2 linked regions of the Medicago truncatula genome follow. The protein of the gene in region 2 interacts with the protein of the main gene of each other region in a pairwise test. Links are inferred from orthologs where the notes say so. Each region holds a gene or a part of one and is shown on either strand. Other genes may lie near its edges.

What was found.
Region 1: the proteins of NKAP-like protein (region 2) and high mobility group nucleosome-binding domain-containing protein 5 interact in a two-hybrid assay, tested with the Arabidopsis thaliana proteins (2 studies listed by BioGRID). The link is inferred for Medicago truncatula from reciprocal best matches to the Arabidopsis thaliana genes AT4G02720 and AT4G33690.

The regions. Positions count from the first base shown.
Region 1 is NC_053043.1:2,417,007-2,430,050, reverse strand, and holds the start of high mobility group nucleosome-binding domain-containing protein 5, read right to left. Parts: upstream 5,159-13,044; 5' UTR 5,055-5,158; intron 3,983-5,054; coding exon 3,814-3,982; intron 1,417-3,813; coding exon 1,155-1,416; intron 666-1,154; coding exon 134-665; 3' UTR 1-133. Other genes in the region: E3 ubiquitin-protein ligase RBBP6, read left to right, coding at 9,896-10,052, 10,209-10,273, 10,386-10,453, 10,948-12,030, 12,120-12,201, 12,283-12,372, 12,466-12,567, 12,662-12,751 and 1 more.
Region 2 is NC_053049.1:11,043,580-11,056,644, forward strand, and holds NKAP-like protein, read right to left. Parts: upstream 5,403-13,065; 5' UTR 5,350-5,402; coding exon 3,889-5,349; 3' UTR 3,882-3,888; intron 576-3,881; 3' UTR 185-575; downstream 1-184. Other genes in the region: protein REVEILLE 5, read left to right, coding at 7,912-8,153, 10,518-10,575, 11,060-11,183, 11,275-11,454, 11,582-11,701.

The sequences.
Region 1 (13,044 bases), on a different chromosome or scaffold from region 2:
TAGCAGGAATTACATTTGATGTTACAGAATACATTTGTACAAAGTACAAAACATTAGTTTCATCCCAATCAACTGTTTCAGCAGGTTATTAGTTATAACAACCTCTGAGAATATATCGGATTGCGGAATAGCCTTAGCGTCGATGTTTACTTGTTTTCTCCTCCCTTCTCCTTTTCTTATGCTTAGATTTCTCTTTGGACCTGTGCTTCTTAGAATGCACCTTGTCCGAGTGGCTTTTATGATGAGATTTTTTACTCTTTTTCCGTTTCTCTTCATGTAGCTCATCCTCAGAAGATTCATATGACTGCCTCTTTTTCCGTTTTTCTTCATGTAGCCCATCCTCAGAAGATTCATATGACTGCCTCTTTTTCCGTTTTTTTTCATGTAGCTCCTCCTCAGAAGATTCATATGACTGCCTCATTTTCCGTTTTTTTTCATGTAGCTCCTCCTCAGAAGATTCATATGACTGCCTCTTTTTCCATTTTCCTTCAAGTATCTCCTTAGAAGATTCATATGATTGCAACGATGGAGGCCTCTTTGGACCATAAATAGCACGGTGTTCCCTAAAATCCGGACTAGTAGAAGGCTCTTCATCAGGATTAGGAGGAAGGTAAGGTCCAGTCTCATCCATCCTTGGACCAATAGCACCTCTGCCTCGCTTCTTCCTGCACCAAAATGGAGTTTCCTCAGCTTTAAAGAAATTAAAGAGAGACAGATTATAAGTAAATAAATAGGTATTTTAGTCCTAGAAATTGTAACAATCAGTTAACTCAGTTCCTCAAATTTGTGAAATAGCAATTTAGTCTCTTAAATTTAAAAATATCAATCAATTTAGTCTTTTTTTCAAATTTTGCACCACAATTTAAAGGTTTTACACTTGTTTTGATGCAACAAAAGACTATTTAATTCTATATGTATGTCTTTCATTGGTTTTGATGGATGTTCAATAAAGAAATATTTTGATACAGGGACTAGACTGATTAATAGTATTCTTTAATTTAAGACACTATTTTGCTATTGCGTAAATTTGAGGGGCTGAATAGCCATCCCTTATAGTTTCAAGGACTGAATTGTCAATTTACTCAACAGTAGATATTTTGAAGGCATTCATACATGCAGATAAAATATCCGAAAGTATAAGAGAGTAATAATACCTTGAGTGTAGAAACTCCTCAAGCTCTTCATCCTTTAAACCTTCTTGAGTATGCCCGTATTCATTTTTAGTTGAGCATGAAGCAGAGGCACTAGTGCTTCTATCATCCCCGGCGTGTCTTTCTGCGCTTCTTGATGTGTTATGATCCATATGCCTTTTGTCATCACTTCTTTTATCTTTTGATGAGCCTGTAACTCGTTTATCTAGCTCCAATTCTTTCTCCCGCGCTCGCCACATTTCATTTACTTCGACAGCTCGATTTGCTGGTAGAAAGCACCAAAAGAAATTCAGTTCCATTAATATAGATAAACTATGAGGTCAGCATATATACGATCATGGTTATTTTAATGTCACAAATATTCAAGAAAAGAAGTCTCATATTCGACATGGGGTGCTTCAATTACATTGTGTTTGAAATGACAAATTGACCCAGTTAAGCCCTTGCCATTACTTTAAAAGAACATAATAGTCTTTGCACAATAATTTTGTTTTTCTTCTCAACTGTCCAGTTAACCAAATGAGAGAAGTTTTCGTAATTCTTTCTTTCCTTTTTCTCTCCATCCTACTTATATATAGCCTATAGTTATGAATCCCAAATTGCAACGTGTGTAAGGCAAAACCAAAACTGCTCTAGCCGGATAGCAGATAATGATATGACTGCTACACTTAAAATTTATATTACACATATTTAAGTTATGACAACTCAAATTTAAAAAATAAAAACTCAAAATTGAAGCTATATATTCAGAGGGCAAGATATCTACATCAACAACAACAATCAATCCTTTTCCCCCTAAATGGAAAGATATCTAAATGAAGAAAAGGAAAAAAATTAAAAGGTCGATAAAATAGAGGTTTCATAGCAGATGAAAGGGAACCAAACCAAGAAAGACGACTAGAGCAGTAGGTGGGTGTGGAACAGAGGACACGAAGAAGATCATAGCAGAAAGTGCAGGAGTAGAGGTGTGGCTTGAAAACACCAAAGTATGAGTGTATAACCAAGAGGTATGTGTTTTTGTAAAGAACCAAACAAGGGTTTCAAACCTATTTTTTTTCTAAACAAAGGAACGGCAACTCCTCTTTGTATAACAAAAACATTCAAATTGAGGGCAAAATATTCGGGCTTCAACTTCATGATTTAATACGATTTCAGCCACTATGGCAGCAGCGACAGTGACTACCCTGAATAATAATGTGATGCTTACTACAGATTGCCACTATGGGGAGATATTAATAAATAGTAGTAACTATCATCATATCTCATTTTCTCTCTAACTTCCCTAAGCTTCATTTTCTTGCTAGCCATTTTCTCTCTGCGTCCAATCAAACCATTAGTCACAATTTGTGCTTTGGCTTTGCATGAAACTGCAAGTACTGGAGTCATATTGGCTTATTGTGATAGTATCTAAGCCATATTGAAATATCGTATAAATATTTTTAAAGAAAACGTTTTCTTAACTTGTGCCCTTCAGCTATATTTGAAAATTAAAATACAACCTGTTAAATGACAATTTGCTTGAAAATCCAAAAAACATTTGATATGTTTTTATTCAAGTAGTTAGATATAATTTAACAGTAATAAATATTTCTTATGTTGTGACCTTGGGACATAGATAAACAGTGGTTTGGCTCCTCTAGTAGTGTTTAGTTGGGTGAAATGGCCAGGAGGGGAGGGGGGGCAAAATCCATTCTCCCTGAATTTTCACTCCCTATCAATGTTGGCGTGGTTTGATAAATAAGTTTTACTTTTCCAACTCTCCCCCTTGTGAATCAAACTAGAGGAGACTTATTCCCGTCCACTGCTATGACCCAAATATTTGTATGAGGGGGAGCACTAGTATGAAAAGTCTGAAAATGTAATTGTTAATTGAAAATTTGAGTGAATTGTAAGTTTGTAACAACTTCCTAGTTTACCATGTATATGCATGTATGTTTATGTATCTTATCATAATCTCAACTACAGATTTCCTAATCAATGATTGTAACCTCGCTAGTCCATATAATTTACAACCCTCATTTTAGTGGATCCAAGTCCCATAACTTTGTAAGGAAGCACCTCAAGTGCACCAGTTATGTACTGGATGTATACCTAGGGCGGAAAGCAGTCATATACGATACCTGTTAAAACTTGACCCACACATTAGTGCATGACTGCGTGTAAAGACACTAAAGAGAAATCTCTTAAAAAAAGACACTAATGAGAAGAATGTCCGCTTAAAAATAACTCAGACCAACCCTTGATTTTTGGCACAAAACCAAAAAGAAGTGAATAATGATCTCTATACATAAGCAAAAAAAAAAAAAAAAAAAAAAAAAAAAACAAGCCCATACGTCCTATGAATCTCTCTTTAATATATCAAAATATTTGATTCTCTTGAATAAGCCATGGATACACTATAAGAACTGTTTGAAACTCAAAGGGCATACCTAGCTTTCACCAAATAGATCAAAAGACAGATCTATAAAATATATTTTCCATTTCTCATATAATGATAAAACTTTCAAAGAACAACGACAAAGAAACAGACTGATTAAATCTATTAAGAATATTTCCAGTTTCCATACAACGATAAACCTTCATCGAAAGCACACCCATAAAACATAGGGATATAGAGCAATAATAACCAAACTCTATCTAAAATTAGCCAGTAAGGAAGAACCTTGTTGTACCCCACGTACGGTAGCAGTGAGAAAACGTGAGTTTGGCCGACTCCTTACATTAGGCTTTTGAAGATAAGCCAGAACACCCTCTTTTTCAGACTGCCGCCGCAATTCAGCTGCTTCCCTCATAAGCATAGCAGCTAATCTGTTTTCAGTCTCCAAATCCATCTAATCATATTGGCCAAAAACAAAGTAAGGAACACTCAAAATGAGACTTTGACTAAACGAATGAAATAAACAAATTCAGAAACAAAATCTTCAGATATTCCAAATTTCTCAGAGTTCTTAATGCAAGAAATCTTTTCAAAGAACCAAAAAGCTTTTGGTTATTACTTCTACTACAAATACCATTCTGTCTTTTCTATTCATACTAGGAAAGACAGACATTGTCCGTCTGTTCGCTTTTTCTATTATGCATTGTTTAGTGAAAAACCCAACAAAGAGATACCTTTCTCTATTTCAAATTGTATCCAAATCCCTAAGACATTTAGGCTATAATAAAATGTAGCACACAAGTATTAGGGCATGTTTAGATTGACTTATTTGAGTTTATCTACTAACATAAGTTTTGTGAAACTGCTTGGAAGAACTTATTAAAACAGCTTTTGTCATTGTTCACAAGCTAATTTCAGCATACTTTCATAAGTTCTCTTATATAACTTATAAAAACAGCTTATAGCTTATATCAAAACAATTTAACTTCATTTTATCTTTTGCTACAGAAATAACTTATACATAAGCACTTAACATGATAAGAACTTGTGCTATAAGCTGAAAATAAGTTGTTTATCCAAACATCCCCAAATTCACATTAAAGAAAGGCCTCAGCCCTCAACATATTGATGAACCATGATGATTATTACACAGAAAAACTATAGCATATTCATCTACATGATGAATTCGACCCATTTTGATCTTCCAACACATTAGGGTTCAACATCAAATCAAAGAGAAAATAAAAAACAAAAATTTAAAATTGAACCCAGAGAGTGCAAAATCAAACATTTCATTAAACCCTGAAATTCTACCACCATACGAACTCAATCAAAGATATAAAGGATGTAAATTGAAGCGAAGAAAGATATGAAAGTAAATAAAAACTAAGTTTTTTTTTTTGCAGATAGGAAGAATTAGAGGCGAATTAAAACACCAAAGTTGAAATTGATGAAGACCCATTAAATTAGGGAAGAAAAAGATTCGAAATTGGGAATAAAAAAAACTTGGTCGGAAAGAAGCTTACTTTGTCTCTGTCTACGGTGGCACCGTCGAAGGGATCGCTGTTCTCTTCAACGCTCGTTATTCAAAAGATCATGAATTTTATATTTATTTTTTTGACATAATCTGATGACTTAATTTTAATTTTAGGCAAGAGTTTAGTCTTTTATTTTTATTTTTATTTTTATTTTTATTTTCATTTTCATTTCAAATTTGTCATTTGAACCATTTGCATATAAATTTTCAAGCTTAAAATTCATATTTTTATTTTCTTATGATCTCTTAATTTTTAAATTTATGATCTTTTATCTATTTTTGTATATGAATATTATAATTGAACAATGAAACACATATACTCCTCGGATTACTCGTGTCTCGGTGTCGGACATGAGTCGTGTCTCACACCAACACATATAGTTACACTTAATTATATAATTTTCTCAAATTATTACATGTCAATGATTATGTTGTGTCTGGTGTCCGTGTCTGTATCCACGCTTCACCTGTTGATAATGTCTCAGACCAACACTTGCATAATCTTCTTCCAAGATGGTTCTCAGGTCGTAACGAAGGTTATTTATTGAGAGTCGTGTTCACCTCGTTCGCACGAACAAAAGAAAGTAGGATATTAGAAATATTTGATACCTTCTATTGAAAAAAGAGAAAGAATCGATTGATTTTTGTTGTATTGAGGGAGAGAAGCAATAGAGTTGCAGAGTTGGAAGTTGCGAGAATGTGACGAAGATGCCTGCACGAATGTAACACACCGGATTTATTTTGTTCTTTTCTTTTTTTATAATTTAAATAACACCTTTTAAAAGTAAATGATGTGGCACAAGACCATTAGATGATTGTGTAAACTGGCTTTGCACAATCATTGCACCATAATTAAACTCATGTACAATATTGCACAATATTGGTTGGTTGGTTAAGTAAAGTGAAACTTAGGGAGATAATCAAAATTCAATTTCAATGACAATATATAACACCAAATTATAACACGTTGCTTATATTTTTCAATTACATCAACAAAATATAAAATAAAAAATAAAAAATAAAAAAGCACCCCAATTCTCTAATGCTTCCGCACACGCAAAGTCTGAGAAGGGGTCTAACTAATTGATGTACTGTATACAACCTTGCTACGTTTTATTCAAAAATACCCAAGACTTGAACTTATGACCACGTAACAACAAATTAAATTTATCTTTACGCCAAAACTCATCATTTATACCGTCAATATAACAAATAGTAGTAATTTCATATCTTTGTAACAAACCTCAATTACAGGCCCCACACTCTTTTATTTTAAAATATACATTCTATTCCTTTGAAAAGTAAAACTACGTAGTAAAATAAACTCTCATTCCTTAAAACATGTTTGAATTACAATCTTATCTATTAAAAATTAAGTATGTGATATGCTTTAATCCATTTTAAAATAAATATTGTATAATATTTACTAACTATGTGTCACCATAAAAATAATTTATTTCTTTATAGAATGTCAATATTAATTTCAGTATTTTATTATGAATATAACGATTCAAAATATAAAATACATTTTTATGGATATAAAGATTCAAAATAAAAATTCATTTTTAAGTAGCCATATTTTATATGATTTAATGTACACAAAAAAAAAAGGCTTTAGTAACTTTTCTAAGAAATTAATTTTATATTGTACTCTTTCAAAGTTTATAATAGGATTTAAAATTATATGTTAATGATTTTTTTTAGGGGAAAATCACATGTTAATGATATTGTGAATTAAAATAGAGAAAAATATGCTTTTAAATTTTGATTATATATTCCTTCAAAATTTTTTTTTTGATTATATTAAAATGGACCTCTAATATCATTTTTCTCTACATAATTTTTGTATATTAGATTTTCGACGTGTGGCTATTAAAAATATTATTATTATTATTTTTGAAAAATATTAAAAAATATTATTAAGGGAAGGAGTCGTACATTTTAACATAAAAGATCAAATATAGGTAATTTAAACTTCTTTCAAATGGAGTGTAGTTCGATTTTTTCCAATAAATTTTGCATAAGATAAGCGAGGAGTGTATATTTTTTGACATCGAAGAGAACATCAATGAAATTTACTCCGTGTCTCTTAAAAAATTGATATTCAATATATTAGTGTTTAATACATTTATAGAATAATGATATTGTTAGCGATTTTATTAAACTGGGTTTTTCTATTAAAAAAAACAAATTGATCAATTTTAAAGATCTATATTATATATAAAGAAAATTATCCCAGCTTTTTTGGGTTGAATTATTTCTTTCAAAAATGTCATTGATTTTTAATACAAATATACTATACATAAAGAAAACTATCCTTTTAGCTTTTTTTGGCTGAATTTTTCTTTTCAAAAATGCCTTTGATTTTTAATACAAATAACACATTAACAAATAGATAAAAATAAATTTAATATACGTAAAGAAAACTATCTCTTTAAGCACTTTTATTCTTTTCCTAGGTGTACTCGTCACGACTGTCACTTGTCCACCTGCAAATTCCATCAGAGACAATATATCAGTTGTTAACATTACAAAAACCAATGGCCGGTATCTCTCACATCATAACTCTTAAACAGTTGATGTTTAGACAAAAGCATAACTAATAATGTTTATAACTTGGCTCAATCCGGTATCTCTCACATCATTAGTTTGTGTGTATTCTATATGATTCTATATTTAAGTATCAAAAAGAGTTCATATTAACTTGATCAAGCATCTCTAACCCTAAAGGATATATTTAGCTACTTACTTTTATAATAGCCTTGCAAAAATGGAAGAAAAAACGAAGATTCATGACAAGATTCACTCAACAAATCTTGCAAAGAATTCACTTCTAACACTCTTGCTTCATGTTTTCTCGGGTCACAACCCAACTTCTTTTACTATGCATGTAACTTGCTATTAAGTTTCTATTCATACCTTCTTTTCTTCATTATGCTAGCACATTAATTTCTTTTCATTCCTTGGCCTTCAAAACATGTCACTAATTGACAAATAATAATAATAAAATACAATTCGACTCAATCAATCAAAATTGATAATTTATTCAAAATAACTTTAAATTAAATATTAAACTAATAAAAATAGAATTAAAACTTAATTAAAAAGACTCTAAAAATGTGATATGATGGACTGTCATCAAAAAGCTTCTTTTAGAAACATCAACGATCACCACTATATTTTGTGCATAAAAGGAAGATAATTATTTCACCACTCTAGAAGATAATTCCCGAAACTTTTGGGATGTATCTAGGCTAAAATATGTTTTTGGTCCCTGCAAATATAGCGAGTTTGGGTTTTAGTCCCTGGTAAAAAAAAATTTTGTTTTTCATCCTCGCAAAATTTTTTGTTTTTTAAAAAAGTCCCTAGACCCATTGAAGCAGCCATCTGTCACACTGATGCCGACGTGGCGCACGCTGACTGTGCATAAGTGGCCATATGACATCTGACGTGGCAATTACAATTTTTAAAATTAGAAAAAGGGTTTTTTAATTTCGAAAATTGATTTTCTGAAATTTAAAATACATAAAAAGCTTTAATTTAATTGAAATGTAATTAAATTTCGAAAATTAATCAGTATAGAGCAAATCTGAATGAACAACAGCAACATTTGCTTTGTGGGATTGAAACTCGAAAGGAATCAAGATTCAAGAGAGAAAAAAGCAGGTGGAGGACAACAACAACATTTTTCTTTTGCTTTAGATTCAATTATTTTATTTATTTTTCGTAAAAAAACTACACAGCATGAACAATAGCTCTGCAACATACTCTTCTAACCCATAAGCAATAGATAAATTTGTGCAGCTTCCCCAACACCATCAGCAAGCAATTCAAGACGAATATAAAGCTTGTTGCTAATCTCAACCACCATATTAAGCTCTTCCTCTTGCTCAAGAGCAATAACACCGTTCAAAGCAAGCTTCCTCCCAACCAAATTGTCTTTGAATCCATTACAAACCAGAAAAGCTTCTCTGTTACCTTTACACAAACAGCTCAAAGCCAAAAGCAATTCAGGCTTCGATCCAGCTTCCAACCCCAACCTAAACTGCCAACCAAATTCAACAATATCCTCTACAAAAAACTTGTCCTGATTACACTTCGAAGGAACAACAAACCCATTTAGGAGAGATGAGAAGAGAGGACGCAATTTGGGAGTTTCAGATTTTCCCCCTTTCTCTTTTATGTCTTTTTTTAATTCAATTAAAATAAAGTTATTTATTTTTAAATACTGAAAATGATTTTTGAAATTTTAAAATTTGTTTTTTAATTGATAAAAGCCACATCAGATGCCACATGGCTACTTATGCACAGTCAGCGTGTGCCACGTCGACATCATAGTGACAGATGGCTGCTTCAACGGGCCAGGGACTTTTTTAAAAAACAAAAAATTTTACGAGGATGAAAAACAAATTTTTTTTTTACCAGGGACCAAAACTTACACTCTCTATATTTGCAGGGACTAAAAGCATATTTTAGCCATGTATCTATCATACATATACATTACGGGTAAAACAGTTTTCCGAAGATAACTTTCAAACCCTTCGGCTATGTATATATTATAGATAAAAACAGAATTTCGGGGTCCAAGAGATATTGAGAAGTGTAAAAAGAAATCATTTGGTCTCGGGTCGAGTCCAACCTCAAGCCCAATTTGAACTCGAAATGACGAAAAGAACCCTTGAATACCGTTTCTTTTATTCTCTTACCAGCCTGTCTGAATCGTAACGGCTAGTTACACGGGACTTTAAAATTCTTCGAACAATCTAAACTTGTTGTTACAACACCAAAACAAAAACAACACTGTGTTACTGTAACGCTCTTAACAAAATAATGTCAGAAAATCGATTCTTGCCTATAATTGAAGAAGAGGAAATAGAAATTGACGACGATTTCTACGAGAAGATCGAAGCACCTAAGTTTGTCGACCTCACCAAACCTGATAAACGCCGTCCTGATGATGACCGTCACTGGTTCTGCGCTCGCTTTGGTAATTATTTTTTTTATTTTTCATCTATGAAGCACTCACACAGACACCAGACACAATAGTGACATGTGTCCGTGTCAGACATTCACATATGTGTCTCACATTGGATATGCAGTGTTGTAGATGTTTTCATTTTGATAATTGGAACTCAATTCTCAGGATGTGACCAAAAGCATGAAGAAGAGTTTGATTCTGAAGCAATTTACAAGAATTTTGTTCTTCGGGTATCTTCTAGACCTGACTTGCTTTATTGATTTTGGTTTTGGTCATAAGAACAATTAATTAGTAATGAGTAATGTGTAACGAGTATTTCTCAAATTTGTGTTGGATTTTCAGGTTATGGCAGCTAGAAGCCCCAATGTTCGGCTTAGAAAAGCATTGAATCGAAGAGAAAGAGAAGCGAGGTAGCCAACTATTAACACTTGTATCGTGAACAAATTTTTCAAATAATTTCTTAGTATAGTAGGTAAAGTTGGGGTTTTGAAAATGGTTTTCAAATGCAATCTAGGTTATGTTTAGATAAACAGCTCAATTATGCCCTTTAAGTGTTCTTCATATAAGTGCTTAAGCATAAGTCTATAAGCCATACGCCATTTATATGACAAAAGATGAAACAAAGTCAAATTGTCTTCATATAATCTATAAGTTGTTTGCATATTTTATCCTGTAGAGCTTATGGAAATAAGCTGAAAATAGCTATGAACATGCCATAAGTGGTTTCCATTAGTTCTCACAAAAGGTATAATAAGTGTTTATGCCGGTAGATAATCTCAAATAAGTCGATCAAAACAAGCTGCTAGTCATAAACAATATCAAGAATCCTGATGTGATTGGACTAAAAATCTTGTGTAGTAGAGCCTTTAAAGTGACACAATTTTTCGCTGTTGTTATTTTTCAGTTCGAATTTGAAGTGCCCGAATACTGCTCCTGCAAAGCCAAGGATGTCAAGAATGGATTTCATTTCCTCATTGTCACACAAGGTGACTGAGAATAAAGTGAAAGTTGTCAAACCTCTTTCTAAGGTTGCTGCAACCCCAAAAGCCAAGGTGAAGCAATCACCCTCCGTGAGTAAGGCTTTGACCACTCCAAGGAATCAAAAGAAGGTTTCTAATTTGGAACAGTTTAGAAGTGTTCAGAACAAGAAATCATTGACTGTTGCTGTGTCGAAGCCTAAGAGCAGGGTAGTGGCTAAGGCATTGGTTTTTAACTCACCAAAGAAGGTGGTTGGGACAAAGAGTTCTGTGGAATTGAAAACATCCATGAAAGCATTGTGTTCTGCAATGAAGAAGCTTGAATTTAATGGAGTGAAGAAGAATGGAGAAGGATGTAACAACTCATTGCCAGTGGGTTCCTCTAGAAAGGTGCAATTTAAGGGACGAGAGGTTAAAAGCCGTGTGTTTGATTCATTGTATTCTAGTAATCGAAACGAACCAGAAAATAACACTGTTAAATGTCTAAAAGAGAAGAAAGCGAAAGCTATGGAGAAAAACCATGTTCCCGTGCCGCATGAAAGTGACTCTAGTGAGTTGGAGACGGAAGAAAAATCAAGGAGTGACTCTCTAGAAAGAGGAGAGAGTTCAGTTCTAACTTTGTCAGAAGCTTCTAGAGATGATATTACCTCACTGTCAACTTCGAAAGAAGAAGAGAAGAGCTCAGTTCTAACTCTGTCACAAGCTTCTGGAGATGATGTTACTTCACTGTCAAGTTCAAACGAAGAAGAGAAGAGTTCAGTTCTAACTCGGTCAGAAGTTTCTAGAGATGATATTACCTCACTGTCAAGTTCGAATAATGAAGAGAAGAAAACTATTGAAGAGAGTGAAAATGAAGAGAAAAGGATCACAGTCTCACACAAGAGAAGAATTCCTGAAGCCAAAAAGAGAAAGGCTGTAGGAAGTTCAATGTCTTCTGATGATAAAGAAAATGAGATTCAACTTAATGAGAATGATGACAAGGAAAACTCTTCAGCGCCTTGTGAGAATATGTAAGTAATTTGATTTGTCTCAAAGTATGTTTTATGCCGGCTTTTTTTTTAGTTTCTTAAACTTAAAGTAATCATTAAAAAAATTGTAGCCGCAGAGATGTAAGCACCATCAATGACGGTTCCAAAAAGAACATTCTTGAAAGCAAGCAGGAGGATGGAAAAATACATAAGGTTTGGCCTAGTTTAGAATCTCACTGATGTTGTTTTAACTTCCCACCTACTTGATTGATAATCTTTATGACCTTGAAACAGAAATCTACATCGACAACAACTGGTTCTCAAGTTGTAAAATACAGAAAATTAAAGCCCACAAATCCTAAGCCGTTTAAGTTCAGAACTGATGTAAGTAAGGGCTTCTGTTCTCATTGGTTTATTTAGTTTAGAAGTAAGTTGAAATCATCTAGCGTGTGATTTATGATGTATTGTATGCCGCAGGAAAGGGGAATTCTCAAAGAAGCAAAGCTGGAGAAAAAAATCACATCACCCTTGAAAGAAATCACTGCTAAAGATGGCAATGCAATAAAGAAACATAAGAATGTAAGCAATTAAGTTTCATTGTGAACCTCAATCAACCTTTTATTATTTGCTTTTGTATATCTAAAATTTGCCTTTTCTTTTATCTTCCTTTCAGAAGAATGAAACTTGTACAGCACAAAGTGATCAAGACTATTATAGCAGTTGCAGCGAGAATTCAAACCAAACAACTCAACAAAATCAAACTGTAAGTTAATGCACATAAGGTCCTGCTTATTGCTAAGCACCTGAATTACTGCTTGCTTAATGTGTGTTTTTTAAAGACAGTGGCTGAAACTTCCTCAAAATATTGTGTAGGGAAACATTCATAGTGACAACAACTACAACAGCAAAGTGCAACTTATATTATCTGCTAAAACACCTAACAGAAATCCTGGTTCTAAACTTCAGAAACATATTGATCTGGATGAAAATTTCAAAAGAAAATCCAAAATGATGCAACGTAATGTTGTGATGCCTAGAAGGTTGGAAATTTAAGAA
Region 2 (13,065 bases):
TAAACTATTTTCTTCACCTTACCATGACTTGAGCAAAGACACGGAATATTCTGTCACCTTTAGCACTCTCTCACTACCGCTCTTCCTTCACCTTACTCTCGTTTAGTTTTAGACCTATAAATATATTATTTTTCATTTACGCCTCTAAAAATCTTTATTAACATCCACACAACAAAGAGGAAGATAACAAAAAAGCTTTCCATTTCTCTTCACCAGAAAGTAAGTTATTATAGAGCTAGAATTTCAGAATCTTGTCTGTCTTTCAAAACAAACCTCAATTGTTATGGAACACAACACCAAAAGAGCAGAGAAAACAATGTAGAAAAACAAATTGAAGGCGGAAAAATTAATCAGTCGATTCAGTTATAAGCTGCATCACCAAAGCATCCTTCTTCACCATCCTCCTCCTCTTCATCTTCTCAAGAGTTCTCCTAAACAACTTCTCTCCACTCTTGCTCCACAAGAGTCCATGACAAATCCAATGCTCAATCATCCTTTGCAATTGATTTATCTCCAACTGATGACGTTTTCTTCCATGATCACTTCACAACTCCTATCTCACTTTCCTTCATCACCTGCTTATAAGAGAGTTGTTAGAAGATGAAAAACCTAGAAAAGACAATGGAAGGTACAACAGCAGCAACAGAGACCAGTAAAGGAACAAAGGAAGAAAATGAGTGCAACACCAGAGCAAGTTTCTCATTGTTTGAACTAACGAAGGTTGTCAAGTTAAAGATAAAGAGAAGCGGAGGAAGAAACTCAGGTATGATGTGATTCATGCATTAAAATAATACTCAAGATTTGAGAATAGTGCAGCCGCTAGTGCAGCCACACGCGCATTTGATGACTTACATAATATATATATATATGTATGCCAACACGAAACAGCATACAGGACAGTCTACATGTACAAACAACCCATTCAAATTGACAGCAAGAATTTGAATTTCTACAACTCAGATAGTGAATATTGATATATATCTTTCTCTTGGCTTTCACAATTACGCAAAAGAGGTCAGCAGGGTTGAGAGTTTTCAAACTTCGAGTTCACGGTGAAGAGTATGTCCCAGAGAATTTGAATTTCTACAACTCAGATAGTGAATATTGATATATATCTTTCTCTTGGCTTTCACAATTACGTAAAAGAGGTCAGCAGGGTTGAGAGTTTTCAAACTTCGAGTTCACGGTGAAGAGTATGTCCCAGAATTGATCCCAAGCAACATTATAAAAACATCTAATGTCTCATCCTCTGTTTGGGTGGTGTTCAAGTTTCTCTTAGTAAGAAAAATTCATATTACATTAGTAAGACATAAATACTTCACATAAACTTAAACCAAATAAAACATATGGCAGTCTTGCTTGCAGCAAGAATATCAGAACGAGCATAGGGATTTTGACTTTTTATATTAACCTAATGATTGGCTTGCCAAAAATGGCAGTGCATTTACCCATTTATCATAGATTTAATATATAGTCCAAAGTTGCACCACCTAGTGTGCAAAGGATTATTCTGTTTCTATGAAGCAGTCATAATATATGAATCAAAAGCTCTAGATACACTCTAAATATAGCTTTCCTTCTGAGAAAACAAAAATCAACTGAAATGGAAGAGGTCTTCTTGATCAAGAAATACAACCATATCTATCGAACATATTGATACAGTCTGATAAAATTTCTATCTAGATTCCAGTGCTGGTAAGTACAATACACCACAGCTTTCTTTTTGTTTGTTTATCATTAAACTGATTAATCCAACCTAATTAATACACTAAAATCTGAATCATAAATCATTTTACAAGATGAAATGACACTAGTTGATCTCTTACAATGGTGACAAAAAAGCTATAGATTCTTGTTTGCTGAAATTTTTCATTCATAAAATTCTGTGATATGTGTGAAAATTAGAGCAGTTAGCAACTCTGGTACTTCCAGAGGAATCTAAAACTAGTTTTTTTTACCGACGACGGCCTATCAACAAAACCAGAAACAGATGGGATTGAGAACCCAATCTCAGAAAGAAAAACAAACCCTAAAATCTTTCACTCAAGCATTAAACCAGATAACTTTGTAAAGCAAGAAGCAAAAACACACTTCTGTGTTGGTTCAACAAAAATGAACTCACAGCACTAGTCAAAGCCTACACTCAAGCAAGCTTTGTTAACCACGATTCATGAAGAAACAAAAATCAATTAATCAATTTCAACAAAAAAAAAATAGAGCAACTATGGAAGGAGTGAGGTAATGAATGGTGAGAATTGGACAGAAACCGCAAAAGACGGTGAAATTTTTTAATCTTGAAAGTGACCGACTGAGAGAACGATGGAGAGAGAGAAAGAGAGAATCGAGGGAGAGTGGCGTTTACAAGAGAGAGCTGCAGTAAAAATGTACTTTAAAGTTAACCCCCCCACCCCACACACACAATTTTTGGGGGTTTAAAAATCTCCAAAGTATTTCCCTCTTTTTTTCTCCCAAACATGGATTTATCACACTCAATTGTGACATCATGCACTTGCACCTTGTTAAAAAAAATTGGCTTTTGCATCATGGATTTTTTGAACCAAAAACATTAGTAGAATAAAGGATTAGTTTTTCTGAGGTATCTACTAGAATGATGCGATGACCATAAAAAAAAATAAAAATTAGAATGGTCTGAACATTGTGGAGACTCATTTTGCTAGGTTGCATCTCACAAAGCAGTAGACGAGTTACAAGCACAATATAACAGGATGAATATTTGATACATACGAGTAACAGCCTCGGCATGCAAGAAAATCATTATATTTGAAACACCACTTGGAATATAAAAAGTAAAAATAACATTTTACAGATAAAACAATATAGATTTATTCAAACACCACTTGGAATGTGTGCAGGTTGCACCAAGAGATGTAAGAGAGGGATAATTATAGAAAGAAAATGAGAGACATGGTACGAAAGGAATAGATAGCCAGATAACAGTGTGAAATGAATGTATTAGGCAAGGCTTCAGGTACAAAAAACCTTGGCTAGCAAAATACTCCCGTCACTTTCAACAGTTTTCAATTTGTAACCCTTAATCTTGGACATACTTGGCTAGAAAAATACTCCTGTCTTTTCACATTTCAACAGTGTGAAAAGAATCCAATTTGTATCAGAACTCAGAAGATTAAACCTCAAATCCTGGACATATAACATCAACCAGGGGGGTTGGGTAGCTCAATTGGTTTGAGCCAAGGGATAAGGAGGTCAAGTGTTCAAACCCAGGCGAAGGAGAAAAAATTTAATCCAACAACTAACCACTAACATTTGCCATTCAGAAAAAAAAAAAAAAAAAACATTAACAGCAGCAATCAAAAGAATGGTGTTTTGGCCCTGATTTAACAAACAAGTTCAATATTGTTGAGTCTCCAGGAAGGTGAGGCCCCAACCCAATAAAAATATCATTATACACCATACCAACGAACATGAGCAATCCGCAGCCAAAAAGCACGAAGGGAAACTCGAAATTGGGTAATATCATTTCCTCAACCACAAACACGACAGCAGCAAATAACTAGTTTCTATTATCAAAACCAATCAACATGCTTTACAACTAGTTTCTTAAATCAAAACCACTCCACATGCTTGACAAGTTGCAATAAATGATAAATCTACCAATCTATAGCAATTTCACATAATCAGATATACACAGTATTAACCAAACCAAGCTGTTTATATAGTAGTTACTTAATCATTTATTAAAAAAACATACACCATTGTCTGAATATTCATTCAACTGCTAAGTTAACGAAGACAATAAGTTCTATATCTCTATTTTCTCAGTCTAAACAGATTGTCTGAATAACATAGTCAGCAAAACAAAAACAACTACAAATAAAGCGAAAGAACACAAGCTAACATACATGAATATCAATCAGAACCATCTTTTGCACCAAAAGGATCATGAATTGGACCAACATCCTGACCAATATGACGCTGCACAAGCCGATTCAAATCAGCCATAACCTTATGCTCCCTTTTAGCCTTCTCTTCATAATTAAACATAGCCAAAGCACGCTTATCTTCAGCACTATAAACCTGGTTTTCTTTCCTAATACGAATTGCATTCATCCTCTGATGCCTACTACCGCTCATCACATAACCAAGTTCCTCAAACTTCGAAATCTCCTCCGCAGAAAGACCCACTTCTCCTCTCCGGGGAATACGTTTCCCTTGTTGAACATATTGCGCAATAGCATCTCCTTCACCCGGCCTAAGCGCACCACCATAACTTATATGCCCCTCAGCTCTTGGAAGCGGCATTGGTCCAACCGGTGGTTCATCATCATCCAAAGCCGGTTTCTTCTGTGACTCAAACAATTCCTTCAACTTCAAAGCCTCAGCATTCATCTCAGCCATCTTCTCCTCATCAACATCATCAATTTCTTCATTAATCTTCGCAACAGCCGAATCAGAACCCAACTCAATTTCCTCCGAACCCTCACTAACCGGTTCAGAACTTTTCTTCTTACTTTTTCTACTCCGTTTCGATCGCTTCCTCTTTCTTCCACTATCATCGTAGCCAGATTCATCATCAGTTTCACTCTCATCTGAATCACTACACCTTCTCTTCTTCCTGCTACTCTTCCTTCTCCTTCTACTACTCTTCCTTCTCCTCCTCCTCTTACGATCTTCTTCTTCGGAATTGGTATCGCTATCACTTTCACTATACTTCCTACTCTTTCTCCTCTTCCTATCTTCCACTTCTGATTCAGACTCAGATTCACTATCGCTTTCACGCGACTTCTTATAACTTTTTCTCCTCTTCTTCCTCAATTCCGAATCAGATTCTTTAGATTCCTCCGATTCAGACTCAGATTTTGCTTTCTGTTTAATCTCCTTATCCTTCTTCACATCAATTATCTCAGAAATTTCTTCAGGTTTACCATAATCTTCAAGATCATCGTTCTCGCGTCTCGGAGGACTCGGCGTAACATTCCAAATACAGTGCTTCAACGATTTCCTCATCTTCTGCCTCTTCAATCTGCGATACTCTTCATAACTCAATCCCTTCAATTCTTCATCAGATTCAGACTCGTTACGCCGAGAATCGTTGCGGTCGAGATAGGAACCGTTATTACGGTGTCCGAATTTCTTTGGAAGATGGTTTCCGTTTGAATTTCCGTTATCGTGGTGTCTAGGGTTTCGGTTTTCAGGGGATATTGAACGGCGACGGTGGCGGTCTGTGTGACGATCGTCGTAGGAGTCGTAGCTAGGGCTACGACGGTAGCGAGGGCGATCGTTGGAGACATCGGAGTCGGGAGTGCGGCGGCGATCGTTGTGTCTATGGCGTTGGTAAGGGGTTTCGATGGTGGAGGAGAGTCTTGCCATGGTAAAAATGTGCAAATTGGATTGTTATTTAGGTTCTAATATTCGCAAAAGAAACCAACCTTCTTTGGGCTGGTTTTTATTTTAAAAAATGCTCTCAATTTTTAATATAAACAAAACATTTAATAAATAAATAAGAATAAATTTAAATATTAAAATAAAAATGTAATAAACATAAATGTTTAATTTTTTTTTTTACCATTTAAAAAATGTAACAAACTAGATGAACATGTATATAATAAACATATATGAAGGCTAAGGTAAAGGGAAAGAGTGGAGATGTTGCACTTAAGTTGGACATTAGTAAAGCATATGATAGATTAGATTGGGATTACCTACGAGAAATCATGATTCAAATGGGATTTTTTATCTCGATGGGTTAGTTGGATTATGCTTTGTGTTGAGACGGTTGATTACTCGATTTTGGTTAATGGAGCATCAGTGGGTCCTATTGTGCCAGGACGCGGCCTCCGTCAGGGGGATCCTCTCTCACCTTATTTATTTATCATTTGTGTTGAAGGACTCTCCTCCCTTATTCGTGAAGCTGAACGTTGCAATAATATTAGAGGTACTTCGATATGCACAAATGCACCAGTTATTTCTCACATTCTCTTTGCAGACGATTGTTTTCTTTTCTTTAAAGCTTGTGAGAGTGAGGATGTTTGTATGAAAAATATTTTGACTACTTATGAAGAAGCTTCGGTGCAAGCCATTAATCTCCAGAAGTCTGAATTATTTTGTAGTCGCAATACTCCAGATGATTTGAGTATGTTTTTGAACTTGCTTGAGACCGGTTAATGAAAACGGTTTCTGGACCTTCTTGCCTTGCTTGAGACTCTTGACCCAAAACATCGTCTGGCTCTAAATCAACTCTTGTTTAAGTATGTGTTTGAACTTCCCTAACAAGTCCTTGGACAAATTCCATGTCAGCATTCTTCTCTGGCTCTTTGGATACTTTACACGCTCTTATTTGAGTTTTAGCCAACATCATTGCTTCTTCAATCTCTTCCCTTTCAGCTTCAATGATAGGCTCCACCTCTACACACTCCATAACATAATGTGCAAGAGTAACGTATACGTCAACACAATTTCCATTTCTTTTGCAGCGTCAACCATGTTGACAACGTCGCTATTAACAATTAATGACATCAACCCCAAATCATAATCTTCGCCAAGTTTTTTCTTCATCCACTGCATACCCTCAACACTCCCATAATTACCACACTCCACAACCATTCTTTCAATATCAAATATGCAAAAGAGGTCTAGGTCTACATCCTCCCCACACACGTCGTCCTTTCATTGTATATTCATGGTTACCTCTTCCATTTCTTACAGACCTCCCTCCATGATACATGCAAGTGATATGCCCCCATATAAACGATAACAACTTACCCTTAAAAAAACATACATCATATAAACATGCAAAATCAAACGAATTAACAACATTCAAATACTATAATATCGCATATAAACGATAATAGGATGATTAAAATGGTAAAAGAGAACGATTATTCCCATATCAACCTTATTTATAAAAAAAAAAAAAATCTTTAACATGCAAAACCATTCAAACAGGAAGATTTAGATACAAAACATAGACCAATTCCACCATTATGGTAGTTTTTTTTTAGACCAAAAACATAGCTACAAGGTTGCATAACTTATGAGAAGCGTACCTTATGTATATGGGTCTTACGGTGACAGAATGATGAAGATTGTGATATCCGCAACTGAGGACGCAAGGCGACGATTGGTGGTAGTTCATGTGACTTTTGGTTGGACGCGGTTGAAAGTGTTGAAAGGGTAAGCAAAAGACAAATGGTTGTTTTGGAATGTCGGGTGAAATTAGGGAGGTATTTGGGGAAAAATTATAAAAAAGTTATATACGTGACTTTTCTCATTCAGTCAGTTACCCTTTGCCAGCAAGCATTGACATGTCAGCATCAAATAACCACATCATCGCCTTTAACAGAACCACGAAAGACGAAATTGATTAATGTTATGCAATTTCGAAGGATAATTAAAATTTTGTTAATGTCAAAGGGTAACTGACACAACTTACAATTTCAGAGATAATTACTTATTCACTCATTTATTTTGTTGGGTTATGCTAACAAAAATACCATCAAAACATTTGTTAAAGAAACCAAAAATATCATGTTTGCATTGGATTCAACGTCATTTTAAATATTTAAAATTTAAATTCATTACTTTTCATAATTTTCTAATACAATATTTTTATTCTCTTATCCTATGCCAAAAACACTGTTTTAACATTTCTCTATTTTGTTGTTCAATACTTGTGTAAAAAAAAAAATGCAAAACAAATAGTGAAATCGGTTTTGTGGGAGTGAAAAAAGCAGCCGACATTGTTTTTACTTGATGTCACGTGTACATACATACAGTCATTAACCACCAACAAATTTCTAGAATGTCCATTACAACGCTTCGTCGTTTATCAAATACCAAACACTGCGAACAAAACAAAGACAAGAGCAACAGTAAAGTAAACTACACCAACAGACACATACACGCGAGATAATCGAAATTACGGTTTTGGTTATGGTATCTATAAACCCTAATCCAACACCACAAGGTTTCTACTTCTTCGATCCTTCAACTATGGCTCTTCCCGGTGTTAACAATCTTCCTCCACCACCTCCGCCGCCATCTACTACCGCCGCCGCAGCATCTACCGTTCCTGAGGATCCTAATAAGAAGATCCGGAAACCATATACGATTACTAAATCTAGAGAGAGTTGGACTGATCAGGAGCATGATAAGTTTCTAGAAGCTCTTCAATTGTAAGTTGGATTGAAGAAGAAATTGCTTATATTGTTAATTAATTAGGTTCTGTTTGTATCATTATTGAATATTGTGGAAAATGATTATGTCGGGAATTTTGGTGTTTTTGAATTTTCTTGATGAATTAGGGTCTGTTTGGATTTACATTTACTTAGGATTATTATTATTGAGGAAAAAGATTAGCGGCCTGTTTGAATTGGGACTTATTTGATTTTATCTACTGTTCGAGAGAGCTTATGAAAATCGCTTATGAGTTATGACTTGTTCATAAGTTGTCTTCAGCTTATTTCCATAAGCTCTTCAGGATCTTATAGCTTATTCGAAAACAATTTGACTTTATTTTATCTTTTGTTATGGAAATAGCTTATAATAAGCGCTGATATAAGATAATTGCTTATGCTATCAGCTGCTCGTTAAGTTGTTTAAAACAGCGCCGGGGTTTATGAAAATTTGCGATTGCCTATATTTTTGTGGAATTTCACTGTTCTCAAGTTTTCTTGATGATTAAAGGTGATATTTGGTCGTGAGTCAGGAATGTTAATCAGTCAAGTAATTAGTGAAGACCAATGATTTTCAATGATCAAAATTGGTTTTTTAATTGGAGTTTATCCACAAGTTTACCCAAAGAAAAAAAGGGCAGCCCAATGCACGAAGCTCCTGCATAAACAGGGTTCGGGTAGGGGTCCCACCATTTGGTGTATTGTACACAGCCTTATCTTGTTTTTTTACACAGTAGGTTGTTTTCAGAATTTGAACCCGCGACCTTTCAATCACATGACAACAACTTTACCGCCAAGACTCCCCCTTTTACAACAATTTTACCCTATTTTTCCAAAAAAGAAATTTGATATAGTTTGATTGTTACTAGTATTTATTTTTTGGTTTTGAAGAGTCTAGCTGCTAAACACTGACATAAGTGTCGTATGTTGAGAAGTGCGGAATCCTAGTTTGAATCCACATCCCTACATACACACTTCCAGTGGCAGCGCTATGTATATAATATTGTTCTTTTCTTCGTCAACTTTCTGTAAGCCTTTATCACTCTCTTTCACATCGTAATTAAAGCACCACCATTTTGTATTCAAAATCGTCTTCACTTTTCTTTTCTGGGTAGTACCAAATGAAACATTTTTCAATCTGTTTACAACAAAGTTTAAATTTTTCATTCAGTTTGTGAAGAAAGTTTGCATGTTTTTCTTTTGGGTTTATCTTTCTCTACTTAAACTTAGATTTGAAACGGCAAGGAAATGATGTTTATATAGTAAAAGGTTTGAGTTGGAAGAATATGGATTTGTGTAGTAGTGACAGTGATTTGAAGTTTTTAAGGTAAAAAAAATACAATGAAGATGGCCCCTGTCTTTTGCTTAGTTATGCATTGTGACACTCGCAACATCTTCTAAATCAAAATGGGTTGTAACAAAAGGCGTGGGTTGCATTCTAGTATGGAATGATAATCTAGACTTCTCCCCACATTCTTAATCACTTCAATTACTTGTCTACTATTATCACTCTTCTTCCTGCGTTGATTACAATCTTTATTCTGATCCTTGTAATGTTTACACTATTCACAAGAATTGGGATTTTAGTTTACTTAATACCAACTACTGGAGACTGGGAATTGAAATAATGATTTGAAAGAGGGATTGTAAGTATTATAGTTTATAGAAATAGAAATTGTCCTTTATTTTCAGGTTATGGCCTCTCGTGTTTATGGTTTATTTATTTACAACGTTTTTTACTTAAACTTTTCAGCCACAATAATAATAGTAACCTCTTACAGTCTTTCTCTTCTAAGGATCCCTCATCGAACAAGTACCACTGCTTGAAGTTAATACCCGAGTTATAAGGCTGCTGCCCCCTTCATTTAAGTAACAGTCTGCAAAATGCAGATTCTGCTATGAAAATGTGTTTTAGATGGATTCTTAGGTCGTATGTGAATGCATGATTGGGGATGTGAGGAAAGACCTGATTCAATCATGATTCAAACAGTGTTTCATTATCTAATTTTAATTATAGACATCGTTTCATCTACATTAATTTTTTTATAGCTTGCAGATTATGCGAAGATTAATAATTGAAAGAATTAGGGTTTATATTCTTTCGAAACTCCATGGTTGCATAATTCACTACCTTGAGAAAAATATTAGAAAATATAATGGTCACGGATACGAGTTTAGGGAAATCCATAGAATTGACATTGATTCTACCATTTGTGAGTGTAGGCTGTAGTAGATTGTGTTCTCCAGTAAGTGCTATGTCATGTTTTGCGGTGTCTGATTAGTGGTTTATACCATGTTTTGTGGTGTCTGGTTAGTGGTTTATTTGTGCTCATTTTCTTCTGTGTTACTGATGATTAATTTCAGATTCGATCGTGATTGGAAGAAGATCGAAGCCTTTGTTGGTTCAAAAACAGTTATCCAGGTAATTATCATAAAATTCAAAGGGAAACAAAGGACAAGTTATTATTGGACGTTAGATGGTTTTGGTTTCTTTCAGAGCATTTAAATAATAAATTTATTCAGTATTTCATCATTCTTAAATTTTGAATTCAATACTGTGTATTTTGCGAAATTTATTCAGTGTCATTACTGAATATATACTTGAATAGAACAGTGACATGGTGATTTCCAAACAGTACTTGGGGACTTATGTTAATTGTGATGTTTTTCTTAAAAAACCTGACAGTTGATGATGGGTTAAGAAATAAACCTTTTGGTTGTTACTTTTGTTGAATGGTTAATTAAGATTAAACGAAAGGTGATAAAGTCATTTACTCATCTTGAATTATGTAATGAGTGTAGTGTTTGTTTTTATCATTTTTCCTTATGATGAATATGTTGACATTCCTTATATGTTCCTCAAATTTTCCTTTATTTACCCTTCTATGCATAATTATTTTTTGTAGATACGAAGTCATGCACAGAAGTATTTTCTCAAAGTTCAGAAGAGTGGAACAAGTGAACATGTACCTCCTCCTCGGCCAAAGAGAAAAGCTGCTCACCCATACCCTCAAAAAGCTCCCAAAAACGGTAAGCGTACTCGACCATATTTGATTACCAGTCGCCTTTGTCTATTGTATGAATTATGGAATAACACTGGTTTTTATTTTTGCATTATCAGCTCCTACTGCATCCCCCCAAGTCATGGGGACATTGCAACCTTCATCTGCTTTTGTTGACCCAACTTACATTTATAGCACAGATTCATCATCTGTGCTTGGTACACCAGTTACTAATCTGCCTTTATCATCTCTGAATTTTAATGCTCCACCGCCAGCCAGTTTGCCTCAAGTGACTACAGGTTTGTTTGTTCTGAACGCCATTATGCTTTTTTCCCTACATTTATCATTAAAAATTGGACTTTTTCACTTTGTTTGTTCTAGCAACGATGAAAGTTATGCTAACTTGGAAAGTTTTTTGATTGTTAGATGACACGGGATGGACTGGATCTGGACAAGCCGTTCCTGTTAATTGTTGCTATAGCAGCAGCAATGAGAAGCAAAGTAGTAAAGGGATTAATGAAGGCAACACGGGCAAGCCTGTTAAAGGTTAGAATTCTTCTTTGTTTCTAATTTGAACTTGATTCTGCTTAACACAATAGCTTAATAAATTAATCTTATAAAGGATCCTATGATTGTTTGTAATAGTGTTGTGCTTCTTGTGATTTGATTGAATTAACTATAACCAAATTCTGAAAACCATAGTTCGATTGTTTTGACATCTCCCAATTGTCTGTCATACTTATGCAATGGTGGAAGTTTTCTACAAGATTCAACTTGGTGAAAATAAATATTTTCATTTATTAGGATTTTAACAAGTGGAGGAAGGAACTTGTGTGTGAGGTTTTTATCAGTTAGACTAGGCTTATTTCATCGTAGTCTAGTATATCCACGCTGAACTCATATGTGCTTGGCCAAAGAAATTGCGGTCCTTGTAAAGTCTCAATCGTGAACAACAAATTTAATAGATTCATAAAGCTACAAGAGGGGTGTGTGGCAGGGATTGAGCGAGTGGGATATTGAAGTACTTGAGTGTTAACTTTTAATTTTATTGTGATCTGCATGAATCTATCTATGCAAATACAACATTATTAAATTGAACTGAAGGATGAATTCTCCCTGGCCGAAAATACAGGCCGAAGATATTATGGGTTTCAATGAAATGTATCTATGATCAAGGAACAACAATCATGTTGAATCACGAGTTTTGGAATGGGTTCTTGTTAAGAAAATAATAGGAAACATGCATAAGGAGTGTCACGGTGTTCCTTGAAGCTTTTGGTTTAAGGATGCAAATGTATTGCTAAAATACACAATTTTCTAAGAAGCACAAAAAACTTAAACCCTAAAGCTGCTGATGTTTTGGTGTGGGATAGGGAGAAAAAGTAAAATTTTACAGGCTTCTGCAAGGCAGTGCTCCTGCTCACTTAAAAGTGATATAGATAAGAGTTGTTTTGCAGTTACTATTCGATAGTTTTACATCAACCACACATATGAAGAGGTGGGCCAAAACCCTAAATCTGTAGTTCTAATCTTGTCGGGGTTCAAGAAACAAGAAGGGCTAGGTGAGAAGTGTTCGATACAACAAACCCATGCCTTATAAAATAGGGACTGCAATTTGTTTTCTATTATTAAATGTGAATTCACTGTCTAGAGTGAGCAGTGCATATAATAAGCACTTGTCTGTTTTCCTAACATTAATACCAAAGTAGTATGTTTTAGTCATTTACATCATAGTTTGATTATTTCATAATCTAATGTGTGAGTAACTAGGAATGTTTATGAACAGTATTAATACTTTTAAGTTCATATATTTTGTAATGCTGGATATCTGATATTGTGATTGTTAAGCATATATTTTTGCTAGTATATTCATGTTTCATGGATTCTTGCCTTACTCCTATTTCACCTTC